3 linked regions of the Nothobranchius furzeri genome follow. The protein of the gene in region 1 purifies or fractionates together with the protein of each later gene. This does not show direct contact. Links are inferred from orthologs where the notes say so. Each region holds a gene or a part of one and is shown in the gene's direction. Other genes may lie near its edges.

Region 1 (4,433 bases):
CTTTTCAATTACTTGTTCATAGTAGTGACTCATTTATTACAGAGTGCAGATGTCATAATTCCTTCATTATTTTCTATTTTATTTATTAGTTTTATAAAATGTATTATTAATTATTTGTACACCCAAATAATTCAGCAACATTGTGCTTTTGTCCAAATCATATTTCTTCTACCTCTCTTCTCACCCCCATTTAAAATACAAAACACAAAGAAGAAAGAGGACAGAGTAAACAAAGACAATTATCATAGTACAATTTATTTCTGAGTGGACACAAAACTCAATAATTCATTGCAGTCAGTAGTTTCTGATCAATGTGCCTGCCTCTGAATACTTAGATTGTTTAAGTCTGTTTTGATTGCTTGTAGATATTGTACATGAGAACAGTCATTTGTCTTTATGTCTAACTGATTTATCTTTTTTTATTCTTGTTTGTTTGATCTTATCTGCTTTTCTTTTGTGTAAAGCAAATTGTCTGTCTGTTGCTGCTGCCTCTTGGTTAGATCGTCGTTGCAAATGAGAATGAGTTAAATCATCTGGTTAAATAAAAAATAAATAAAATATACCACATCCCAGTTTTGTTGAACTTCTTCGTGGTAAACCCCCAGCTGTTGGAGTGAGACCTCCTTAAAATTTGGGATGTCTTTGGTGCAGCTGTCAGGGGGCTCGACCCTCCGCCCCTTCGTCTTCGTTCTTGCAGTGTGCTCCCCTGATTGGTCCAAACTGCACGCGAACCTCACTCGTGATCAAGGAGTGTAGGCGTGGCCTTGAAACACCACTGCACTCCGATTGGTTGTTTGGTGATTAGCGCGGGTCACAACAAATATGTTGCGCCCCCATAGACATGTTTTCATCGATGGTTTTCATGTAAATTGTACCTCCGTCCCCTTCCATGTAAAAATAAAAATGTACACATTGTGAACGCAATGAAGTAAAAGTGAAGGTGTCCACATAAAGATTAGAATAAAACACTTAAAAATATTGAAATACCTAGGAGAAGGTTGAGTTTCTACATTTTAAATTAACCAGAATTTATTTGTATGCAACAAAGTTCAGCTGAGAATTTTTCCAGTTAAGTTACTAAGTGCACTAAGGTTGGTTGAATGTTTAAATAGACTTTTAATAGACGTGTTATATTCTAAAAGTATATTGGCATAGGCTTTCAAAAATATTTTACTTGAGCACAGCTAATTTTAGCTGACTTTAGTATGAGTGTTTTGTCTTAAATAGTACCAGGAAGTATAAAATCAAATAAAAAATCATATGATGCCATTAGAAGTTGCGTATCAGCTGTTTATTTTAGAGTTCAGCCCTTTTTTAATGTTTGGGGGATGTTTACATGTTTCTAATTGCTGTGTGCACTTATGGCCGCTAGAGGGCGCCGAGCAGAAAAGTTTCCAGTTTCTGCTGGTGGTCTCAGACTGACTCGTTTCCGGTTCCTCTCCGTGCCGTCGGTGGCCCTAAACGTGTCCTGACAAAATGGCACTTTATAACTTTAAAAAGATTATGGTGGTTCCTACCGCCAAGGTGAGTTTTATTCCACGATTTCCGCTTTTTCAACTCGGCTTTGACCATGCTCTCGCGGTTAGAAACGACCGTTGGTTGATAGAAATGAAAACAGTTAAATGGAACGAAAACACGTGGGACAGCAACAGATCATTGGATGAAAATCTGCGAGAACAGTAGATTTTTACCTTAAAACGAATAGGACACGATTTATTAAACTAAACGAGGTTTTCCTGCGTGTTTACGTAATGTCTGGGATGATTACACCACTGTTTGAAAAGTAACGAGCTCCTCAATTTTTTGTTTTAGCTAGTAGCTACCAGTAGTCGTAAATAAAATCTAACTCTGCTTTTTAATCAGATGTTTGTAATTTTAAGCGTTTCAGTTGCTTAAAATGTGTTCTAAAAGCCCAATCCAAAGTAAAGAAGATCATATAATAAAACGTTTCAGTTTGAAGTGTTTTTGAAAAATGACTTGATAAACATTGTTTTCTGTCAGCCAGAGGCTTGGCTGAACCTTGCAGGATAACAGAATGTCTTAGAGAAAAACTGTCTTTGTGGTCTCAGGTTATTAACCAGTGCACTCTTCATGTCTGCAGGAATTCATCGACATCACTTTATCCAAAACACAAAGGAAGACGCCCACGGTGGTCCACAAACATTACCAGATCCACCGCATCCGACACTTCTACATGCGGAAAGTAAAGTTTACCCAGCAGAACTATCACGACCGGCTCACGCAAATCCTCACAGACTTCCCAAAACTCGACGTAGGTCACCGCCCTTTACTCATCTGGAGGCTGATTGTCTGATTTCTGGGATTTGTTTGTGAATTTGGTCTGTGTGTCTCTCCAGGACATCCATCCTTTTTATGCTGATCTGATGAACGTGTTGTATGACAAGGATCACTACAAGCTGGCCTTAGGACAGATTAACATCGCCAGAAACTTGATTGATAAGTAAGTTTGGACTTCAGAGAATGTGAACATGCATCATGCAGTTTACAACACCCTGTTTGGGTTATTGACATATAAGCAATCCTGAGGTTTCGACATGAATCAAACACAAAATTAATCAGACAGTTTAAGTTTAACCTCTGTCCCTGTGGGGTTGGTGAGGTGTTCAGGTTTTTTCTGCTTTGCTAAAGATTTTTAAATTCTGTAAGAACACATAAACCTACAGAGAAGACCATTTAGGCAGTAGAGTTCTGCTGTTAAACAACCAGTGATTCTAACAACAGAACCCAAAATTTCTACAAACAAGTGATTTTTGTTTTTTATAACCTTCCAGCGTGGCGAAAGACTACGTGCGCTTGATGAAATATGGAGATTCTTTGTATCGGTGTAAGCAGCTGAAGAGAGCTGCTTTGGGCCGAATGTGCACCATCCTGAAACGACAGAAATCCAGTCTGGAGTATCTGGAGCAAGGTGATGAGTTGTTAGTGGGAAAACTTTGTGATTAAACATCAGTTTCTGCTGCAGATTCCTGTGGTTTAAATCTGACTTCCTGCTCCTACAGTTCGTCAGCACCTGTCCCGTCTGCCGAGCATCGACCCGAACACCAGGACCCTGCTTCTGTGTGGTTACCCCAATGTGGGCAAATCCAGTTTCATCAACAAGGTCAGCTACAGAGATCATTTTTTCATAATTAATGTTGACTGAGACCAGCTTTCCAAGCATGGTACTAACTAATGTATTAAATCAGCCTGGTTTCCCTTCTTCATTAAAGAAAATGTGAAATGTTCACCTCACTAGGTCACCAGGGCAGACGTTGATGTCCAGCCGTATGCTTTCACCACAAAGTCTCTGTTTGTGGGTCACATGGACTACAGGTACCTCCGCTGGCAGGTGAGATTCTGCTGCTATTTTACTGCATTCATGAACTCTGGTGAACCTGAAATATTTGAAGAAGGTTTATTGTTTTCTGTTTTCTGTTCAGAGTAACTTAAAGAGCAAGTCAGCCTCAAATCAACTTTTTTTTTTTTGCTGATAAATACCGTTAATCCTCTAATACAGGCCTGGGCCTGTATTTGACCCAAGCTCACCAAGCTCCAGGCCTTTATTGGAAGGAGGACCAGAATTAGAGACAGGCCTCAATTTCTATTTGAGCAAAATGAACTAATGGTTCGCTGGAGTTTTTGACAATTAAAATTGCGCCCACGTTTTCAAAGTTAAACACATTTCTTTTAACAACGGTAGTTTCTGCTTCAGCCCCCTCCCCCTGCGCAGCGGCTGCAAACTCACTGATGAGCCTGCAGCCTCTCGGAGTTCCTGCTGCTCTAAACATTAAAATAATTATTTCATTTTCTGTTCCTCACTTCTGATTACCGTCAATGGTGTCTGTTTGTTGCAACCACCAGGTACAAAAACTAACTTGTTTTTATTTGACTATTTTTCTGTCCTGCCTGTTTATTATCTTCCTGCATCTCCTCTCAATCCTAAAGAAAAACTGCTACCTGGCTTCATATATATTCATCTTATGAGTTACCTTTGAACTGCAGTTCTAAAAGATTTACCGACCGCAAAAACAGCGGAGTGCGCGCTGCTTGCCGGCCACATCAGTTAGGTGAGTCACCGGAGGACAAAACAGGTGATGCACCCCGATCCACAGCAGCGAAACGCATCAGGCACAAATAAAATAATTTAAAAAACAAAAAACATAAAAGGAAATGAGCCAACATGAACGATCGCGTGTTAAATTAGTTTTTGAGGTGGCAACACCTGATTTGATAATGTAACTGTGGCCGTGCTCAGGACGCAGATGTCTGGAGCGTGTCAACAATCAGAGCTTTGCATGCGCAAGCTGGTTAAGGTTAGGATGGGGTGAGGGGAAGGTTAAATTGCAAGAGGGTAAATGTCACAATTTGGTTAAATGTCCGTTTTACGGCGGGGGTCAGTGCCGACGCTCTGGCACAGCGCGTCGCCTCCCAAC
Region 2 (4,324 bases), on another chromosome or scaffold:
GCAGCATACATGTCCGGACCCGACCCCTAAGGCCCCGCCTAGGGGCAATGCAGCTGCCAGGCGGTGACCCATGGCCACCGCCAAGACCCCCAAGGGGCCCCACTCACAACTGCCAGTAGTCCACCCCCTGAGGCAACCCAAGCACCTCCAGAGGGGGGCAACAGCCCCCCAGACCCTCCGACCCCCACCCATATCATCTCGCAGGACAATATCAATGGTCCACCATCACCGCTATGTGATGGAACCGATAAAAGGAGCCCAGAGAGATTGATTTGAAGTGGAAGCAGAGGCTAAACCAAGTGTAATATGATCTAACAAAAGATTTCTATACTGGTTGATGCAGAGACTTTCTCTATTTTTCCAATTCAAGAGGATAGTTTTCTTAGCGATGCATATGAACCACGTGAGCCAAAGATGTTTCAAACAGGACATCATCCAGGTTTCCCAGTAAACAAAGAGAGGGGGCGGTTGGGATATGACATTTCAGACACTTTGTGGGCTGCATGGTGGCGCAGTGGTTAGCACTGTTGCCTCGCAGCACGAAGGTTGCAGGTTCGAAACTCGGCTCGGCTGCGGCCTTTCTGCGTGGAGTTGCTTGTTCTCCCCATGCATGCGTGGGTTTCCTCCGGGTACTCCGGTTTCCCCCACAGATCACAACATGCCCTATAGGTTATAAATTGTAAGTCGCTTTGGATAAAAGCGTCTGCTAAATAAATAAACATAAACATTCAAGTCCTACAAAAAAGTAACACCCGAAGAAAACAGTCAAGGATCAAATACTTTGTCACAGCTGTTGTAGTAATCTAGTTTCCTACTGTTGTAACTTACTTGGATACATCAGGGTTGACCACGGTTCGCACTGATTTGATATCATCTGCAAGAGTGAGCAGAAAGTTGAGATATAGTGATGCAACACATTATTTCCTTAATGAAAGAACCACATCAAGTCATGTTGGTCTCTATTATTGAACTTTAGTGACAAATAAACTTATAATACACGATTATGCATATATATATGTGTGTGTGTGTTCATATATGATACATACCTTGATGAAAGTCATAGTGTCTCAACCTGCAGCTGCAGCTCTGATGTCCAGCAGTTAATAAATGCCGTCCCTGTAGACAGAATACTGTCAATAACACAACCAGTCTATGGTAGCATGCATTCAAATAAATAAATACATAAAACATCTTACCCAAACAATTCTGTTGACCGTCTGTAAGGCTCTGACAGACATTTCTACTGTTATAAAAGCTCCTTTACGTCACACACCAGCTGCATTTGAATGAAGAAATGTCTCATTGGTTACCAACCAACTAAAATATTGAACGGCACTTTGAATTTTTAAGTCACAATATCCTTATGAACAGAAACATTCTTGAAACCCAGTCAAAAGTCACGCTTACAGCTACTACCACAAAATACATCCTCTGGATCCTTTAGCCTATGACATTTATAGTTCCGCATGCAAACAAAAATGTAATTAATTTATATTCGCGGGTTTAAAATCCCCATAAGCACGTACGTAAATTGATAATATTTCTATGAATACTTAATATTGAAAAACTACCACTTATTTTAAAAATCGCCACTTATCGCTTTTTGTTTCAGCGGACCGGATAATGACGGCGGAAAAAACTGTTGCAATTTGATGACGCACTTCCTCTAAGTATCGGCTCGGGGAAAACAACATCAGAGAAGCCCCAGCCAGAAGCATAAAACACCAAATAAGTTGTGTTTTCGTCATCTTGAACCACCTATACCGTATTTTCTGTTAAGCGTAGCACCTTGAACACAAAATGGTGAGAAAATTAATCATTTAAAATGTACGTTGTAGCTTCTGTGAGCTGTTTAGCATGCTAGCAGAATTAGCTTGGGTCCGCATGTGTTGAGTCCATCTGCTAGTCTGAATTTATTCCGTTTCCTAACACATTTAGCTCAGTTTAATATAAAATAAATGTGTGAGTATGTATGCTACATTGTTGGTTATGTCAAATTAACTATGATGTTCAAGTGACCTTTGACTGCCCTGTCAGGAGTGTTCCTCATTTAAATACATCGAGTAATTGTATTTAGAAAAGTTACGTTAAATTAGATGGGATAAAATAATGTATTTGATGAAGATATCAAATATAAAGCAGAGTGTATTTGTTTAAAGGTCAAAAACTCAAATCTAGCTCCCCCGTATGTCTATATTATTGTTTTGTAGCCTCAGAACGAGCACATTGAGTTGCACCGCAAGCGGCATGGCTATCGCCTGGACCACCACGAGAAGAAAAGGAAGAAGGAGAGCCGAGAAGCTCATGAACGCTCCCACAAAGCCAGGAAGATGATTGGTCTCAAGGCCAAACTGTACCACAAACAAAGATATGCTGAGAAGATCCAGATGAAGAAGACGTGAGTCTGGCGGCATATGAATGGCTTCAGCGTTACCTGTCATATACGCTTGTAAATAAACTTGATGTGTTTGTTTTCAGCATCAAAATGCACGAACAGAGGAACACCAAGCAGAAGAATGACGACAAAACACCTAAAGGTGCAGTTCCAGCTTACCTGTTGGACAGAGAGGGACAGTCTCGTGCAAAGGTTCTCTCCAACATGATCAAACAGAAGCGAAAAGAGAAGGCTGTAAGTAAAAGCTGGCTGTCAGTGACGTTCCTCAGTGAAATAATATCTTTCAGTTTCTTGATAGAGGGTTTGAAATGATTATAACTGTACTGTGTAAACAAACATCTTTATTTCTGTGTAGGGTAAGTGGGAGGTGCCTCTGCCAAAGGTTCGTGCTCAAGGAGAGACAGAGGTGCTTAAAGTTATCAAAACCGGAAAGAGACAAAAGAAGGCCTGGAAGAGGATGGTCACAAAAGTTTGCTTTGTCGGTGACGGTTTCACACGAAAACCCCCAAAGTATGAACGTTTCATCAGACCTATGGTAGGATCACTGTGTGGCTCAAGTCCTGAACCATTTACAGCCCTGTTTCTCATGGTTTTTATGTCAAATTTAATTGTCGTATATTGCTGTAAACTCTGTGCCCAATTGTTAAATGACCATGTTGTTATTTTTAGGGATTACGTTTTAAGAAGGCTCATGTAACACATCCAGAATTGAAAGCAACATTCTGCCTCCCCATCCTCGGGGTGAAGAAGAATCCTTCCTCCCCCCTCTACACCTCTCTGGGAGTCATCACAAAGGGAACAGTGATAGAGGTCAACGTCAGTGAGCTGGGCCTGGTAACACAAGGTGGAAAAGTTATCTGGGGTGAGCTCTTTTTTTTTTTTTTGTTCAGTGTCATTATGACATCTATTAGACATCGTTTAAACCTTTGTTTTTAAAAAGCCTGTAAAATCTAAATTAATCTTATGTGCTTCTCAGGTAAATACGCCCAGGTGACAAATAACCCAGAAAATGACGGCTGTATAAACGCAGTTCTGTTGGTATAAGACTCTCCACCTGGCTGCTGACTGTTCAGATCTTCCATTAAATCTCAGATACAACAATCAGCAGACTTATGTTCACAAGACTGGAAGACCTCAGAAGAGGTGGTTGGAGGTTTTTTTACAACAAAAAAGGACACAGCTACAGGAAAGGAAATAATTGTTTGATACAAATAAACTTGGAATGAAAGCAAATGTTTTCCAGACTTATTTTACTTGCAAACATTTTCTGAGATTGATGCAGAAATAATAAAATCACATCAGGGTGATATTAACTAGTCGTTAATCTGAATTAAATTGGTTAATCAGAAGGTTTTATTGCCATTTGTGCAAGAGATTGCCGTGGTAGTTGGTGCAGAAAGAGATTGAAAATAAGAGATAAACAAATACAAATTACAGAATTGATTATAATTTGTTTGAATGTAGTGCTGATTTGTAGAGCTGCATAAAGAATAGGTAACTTTTCATTAGGTGCTCTTCTAAATTGTTACATGAATAGGCCTTGGATTAAAGTTACTTATTTTCAGTTCCTTCTATGTTTTTATTTAAAAATTGACTTAAAGAGCAAGTCACCCCCTACCAAAGTCTTACTCCACTCCCACTTCCTGTTTGAAAAATGCAACAAATGCTGTTGCCTGGCAGACCGTGCCGCTAACAAATACACAGGCTCATAACGACATTGTGACATCATATTGTACCAGCTAACATTCTAGAGTACCTCTTAGCCAATAGCAATGGCAGACTTATATTCAACTGCAGTGCAGTTTTTACCCGACGACACAACACCATCAGTTTTAGGCAGAAAATTTTAACTAAAACGCGGCTGCGGCCTTTCTGCGTGGAGTTGCGTGTTCTCCCCATGCCTGCGTGGGTTTCCTCCGGTTTCCCCCA
Region 3 (4,377 bases), on another chromosome or scaffold:
GGATCAGGTCTCTGCTTTTTGCAGATGATGTGGTCCTGTTGGCTTCATCAGAACGTGATCTTCGGCTTTCACTGGAGCGGTTTGCAGTCGAGTGTGAAGCAGCTGGGATGAGAATCAGCTCCTCTAAATCCGAGACCATGGTCTTGAGTTGGAAAAAGGTAGAATGCCTTCTCCGGGTCAGGATTGAAGTCCTGCCTCAAGTGGAGGAGTTTAAGTATCTCGGCGTCTTGTTCACGAGTGATGGAAAGCTGGATAAGGAGCTCGATAGGCAGATTGGTGCTGCGACTACAGTGATACGGGCGTTGTATCGATCTGTCGTTGTGAAGAGAGAGCTGAGCTGGAAGGTGAAGTTCTCAATTTACCGGTTGATATACGTTCCTACCCTCACCTATGGTCACAAGCTTTGGGTAGTGACTGAAAGAACGAGATCGTGCATACAAGCGGCCGAAATTAGTTTTCTCCGCAGGGTGGCTGGGTTCTCCCTTAGAGGCTGGGCAATAAGCTCAGCCATCCGGGAGTGGCTGCTCCTCCACATCGAGAGGAGCCAGTTGAGGTGGCACGGGCATCTATTTAGGATGTCTCCCTGGTGAGGTTGTCTGCGTTGCAGAAGCGTTTTTCTGTTAATCACCAGCAGATCGAATCTGGTGTGTTTAAGCAGAGAAACAACTGAAACCTGCTGGACAGCCCTCGAGGACCAAGACCGCCACCACCTGCTTTAAAGGGAGCTTGAATGTTTAGACCTTTTCAAATTTCTAAGTAAAATGTGTTTGAGGGAATGGTTTTAAGGTCAAACGCTGTAATAAAGTGCCAGGCCATCTTCTAATAAATGTTGGTTTGCACTAAATTTACTTGCAACACTTTTCTACCTTTCCTGTACATCAGTTGTGTAATCTGTAAAAATAAAGCCCCCATGAGGGAGGGCGGCTCCCCCTCCCCGCCATGCTATCGAGCCTTTTGCTTACCCAGAGTCCAGGACAGTCTCACACACACACACACACACTGTTACAAATCAATCTGTGCAGAAGCAGAAACAGAAAAGGGTTTTTGCTCTGGTGCAGTTTTATTTTATTGTATTTGCCTCCACCTGCTCCGGCAGAAACATGGCAGACCGCTGGTGAGATCAGATGTTCACATCTACATTGTATCTTGTTCTGCAGCCTCTTCCGATGGGTTTGTAATCAGGTTATTCTAATGTGATATGCACTCCGGCCCTGCTCAGTCCATGCTTTTATTGTGTACACGATCACAATTTACTTATTTTTAGTTTTCTTTGGCGAGAGGTCAAATATTTGTGTATGTTCGTGTTAGCAGGATGTTTTATTGTTTATGTTTCCAGACCTGCTGCAGGGATTCCACCGTGGACTCCAGCTGCTCTCGTTTGGACAGCTCCTCCTCCCATCTGCAACACACAAAGGTGGGTCAGTTAGCACTGGGTCCTCTTCCCCAAAGACCTCTCATATGGGTTCATGGTCCTTTCGTGGAATGATACTCCCATCTCCAATTACAAGGCTCTCTTGACAGTGTGGTGTCACCCCTGCTCCCTTCCTCTGTTTTCACTCTTTTGTCTTCAGCAGTTAAATAAAAACTACAGGGACGAATGGATGGCTGGTCTTTTACAAGCACAAACAAACATTGCTCATGAAAAGGCTTTTGAATGAGTAAGTATAGGGTGGAGATTCACTACCACAGACTGAATTCCTTCAGGTCTGAGGAGATGTAATTCTCATTTGCAACAGTTCAACATTAATAGAAGAGCCTGAAATGTGTCCAAACTGGAGTCACTTATTATGATAATGATGTGAAATAACAGAGAACTAAATAACCAATGGCTCAAATTCATGGCAAAGCAGATTTGTGTGAAACAGAAAAAGGAACATGCGTCTCTGTGAGGTTTCGTTCAGGATTTCCGCTAAATGCTAATCGTAAGCAGCTGTGATCAAAATAGAGTCTTCAATTAACCGAACAAGCATTGGTCTGAGAGGAAACTGGAGTAAGCGGGGAAAATCCACACATGCACAGGGAGAACATTCAACCTTTTTACTGTGGGGTGAAAACTTATTCATTTCCTGCAACTGGAAAGTTTATGTTGTCAGGGATCAATAGTTAGTAACAAAATTAGAGAATGTTTTTTTAAATTATCTATAATTATTTTTGATTGCAGCAAATTTAGTTTTTTTGCATTAAGTAAGCTGTGGTAGATTTCTCTTTTGTTTAGTCTGGAGTGTGTGTCTCCAATGACAACGAGTTTTTTGATAACAATGCATTATGTAACAACTAGACTCACACGCTATGGAACCGTCATGAGACCCAATACAGTGCAACAGCTATTTACTCAAGTGTTCTGTTTTTAAATCAGCTTTAGTGCAAAATGAGACTTTTTACATATTTGTTTTTGAAAACGTGAATCCCCAAAATATTGTCAAAGGATTATAATTATGTTTTAAGTAGGGGTGTGTATAGACAAGAATCTGGTGATATGATGCACTACTAACCCCCCGCCCGCTCACTGCTAACGCCGTAACACTTTTAAAACCAAGAGGAAATTTCTGATTTGTAAAATACACAACAGATCCTGGGTCAGTCAGGATCATGGCAAGGCAGCTTTGGTGAGCACGTTGGTTGACACCACAACTTTGATGGGGAAACAGTAGATCGTCGTTCAGCTCAATTTGACAGTACACATCCAGTGTCATCGCTAAATCTCATTTCATCACAAGAAGGCGATAAAAACTGCCAACAGTTATACTGTTATTTCAGTGTATTGATATTTTCTTTCACATACCCTAGCTTTAAGTAAGACCTTTAAAAAATATATATTTTTACTATGTAATTACCAAATTACTTCAAGCCTAAAACTTCCTAATCAAAAGACATTAAAATATGCAATTGAAAATTATCAGTTCTGGTTTTTACTTTTTCAGGAACAAAACAGAAATAAACCATTTATTATCAGATGAATGATAAATTTAAGTTATACAAAGCTCTTACTGCAAAATTAATATAGAAGACATAAAATAGACCCTATATACATATTTAAACAAACGTCTATGACATTTGTACAGGTTCAAATGACACAGCCTTTACATACCATGCACATATTACACATCAAACTCTTTTTTTCGTTCAAAATGTCGAAACACGTCTGATCCGAGGCAATGTTTTTGAGACATTTTTGTTTGTTTGGTGCAACTGGCCAAACTTACACTGAAATAATTGTCATAGTTTCCAAAGGTAAAGTTTAAGTTCAGGAGATATTTGATGTTAGGTACCTAAGATGATTTAGATTAGCTTATTTTCTTTATAGAAGGGGGGGTCAAGGCCTAAATTGGTATACGTATATAAACCGTATATGATAACTGATATACAATATAAACGTATATCAGTTTATATCAGTTTAAAACCCACAGATGGATCTTTAAGGAACCACAAAATGCATTTCACCTTGAAGTAATCAGCTAATTCAATCCCAGCGTTTTATTCAAACCAACATGCCAGCGTTACGATGATCGCAGAAGTCCTCCCCTGTGGAGCATTGCTGTCTCTACGGTATCTGATGACAATCACTCCACATGCAATAAAACAACCCCACCAACTGAGTCACAGAGTTCAGACCCAGTGTTGCTAAAAATAAAACACCAGACCCTCCAATTAGCTACTTAGATTCTCCTTTTGTCATTTCAATATTACGCAGCACACCAGCTATAATCATTTTTGCAATTTGTATTCCACACAGAAACCCAGAGGCTTTAGCTTGGTGCTTCAGTCGGGACTTTTTTAAAGTGGGATATAAAAACAGAAATGCTGAGTCAAACATGCCTCCCAAAAGATGGTTGGACGTGCAGAACGAAGAAGAAACTCATTAAGAAGTGACGGCAGGTTCAGACACCCATGTGGAGGATGAGTCACTGTGGGCCATACGGAGCAGGATTAATATAGGAAAAAGGGGGTTTCTGGGTGAGGCAATGGGAGGACGTCTGCATGCCAGATCACAAAAGTTCACTGACAGGCAGACATAAGGTTATCTGAAGCTGGCTGTCAGCATGGCTGGCCATGAATTAGAACATACTGTACGTCGCTTTCCCAGCTAAACTCTGCTGAATACTCCCTGTCTACTTAGAGGGAAGTATTCCTATGCAGAGTCTGCCAGCTCACTCTGAAACCTAAAAAAAAAGGCTGGCATTGGTGCTTCACTGTGTCCACAACACTCAGCCGGTCTGCCGCAGGACTCGGGCAGAGTTCACAGGAGTTCACAGCTGCACCGCTTCCTCTGCAGATGCATGCTCTCACAGCATTTACATCACTGGTGTTGTCACTCCTTATGAGCGCACCACGGATCTCACAGTTATCACCTGAACGGTGAGTGAGAACTGGAAAGGA

Evidence for each region.
Region 2: the proteins of gtpbp4 (region 1) and nsa2 purify together in Homo sapiens (affinity purification with mass spectrometry; 3 studies listed by BioGRID and IntAct, counting the BioPlex papers as one, with this or other methods). This does not show direct contact. The link is inferred for Nothobranchius furzeri from reciprocal best matches to the Homo sapiens genes GTPBP4 and NSA2.
Region 3: the proteins of gtpbp4 (region 1) and mrto4 purify together in Homo sapiens (affinity purification with mass spectrometry; 3 studies listed by BioGRID and IntAct, counting the BioPlex papers as one, with this or other methods). This does not show direct contact. The link is inferred for Nothobranchius furzeri from reciprocal best matches to the Homo sapiens genes GTPBP4 and MRTO4.

The regions. Positions count from the first base shown.
Region 1 is NC_091751.1:36,527,142-36,531,574, reverse strand, and holds the start of gtpbp4 (GTP-binding protein 4), read left to right. Parts: upstream 1-1,378; 5' UTR 1,379-1,476; coding exon 1,477-1,524; intron 1,525-2,101; coding exon 2,102-2,272; intron 2,273-2,357; coding exon 2,358-2,461; intron 2,462-2,792; coding exon 2,793-2,929; intron 2,930-3,020; coding exon 3,021-3,121; intron 3,122-3,256; coding exon 3,257-3,349; intron 3,350-4,433. UniProt on the Homo sapiens protein: Involved in the biogenesis of the 60S ribosomal subunit. Acts as a TP53 repressor, preventing TP53 stabilization and cell cycle arrest.
Region 2 is NC_091746.1:69,313,690-69,318,013, reverse strand, and holds nsa2 (ribosome biogenesis protein NSA2 homolog), read left to right. Parts: upstream 1-1,646; 5' UTR 1,647-1,800; coding exon 1,801-1,803; intron 1,804-2,210; coding exon 2,211-2,398; intron 2,399-2,478; coding exon 2,479-2,629; intron 2,630-2,750; coding exon 2,751-2,930; intron 2,931-3,064; coding exon 3,065-3,257; intron 3,258-3,371; coding exon 3,372-3,439; 3' UTR 3,440-3,628; downstream 3,629-4,324. Other genes in the region: gfm2 (ribosome-releasing factor 2, mitochondrial), read right to left, coding at 829-874, 1,047-1,116, 1,197-1,238. UniProt on the Homo sapiens protein: Involved in the biogenesis of the 60S ribosomal subunit. May play a part in the quality control of pre-60S particles.
Region 3 is NC_091743.1:63,496,765-63,501,141, forward strand, and holds the start of mrto4 (mRNA turnover protein 4 homolog), read left to right. Parts: upstream 1-1,336; 5' UTR 1,337-1,338; coding exon of another isoform or gene 1,339-1,399; 5' UTR 1,400-1,414; intron 1,415-4,377. Other genes in the region: iffo2b (intermediate filament family orphan 2), read right to left, coding at 1,339-1,399. UniProt on the Homo sapiens protein: Component of the ribosome assembly machinery. Nuclear paralog of the ribosomal protein P0, it binds pre-60S subunits at an early stage of assembly in the nucleolus, and is replaced by P0 in cytoplasmic pre-60S subunits and mature 80S ribosomes.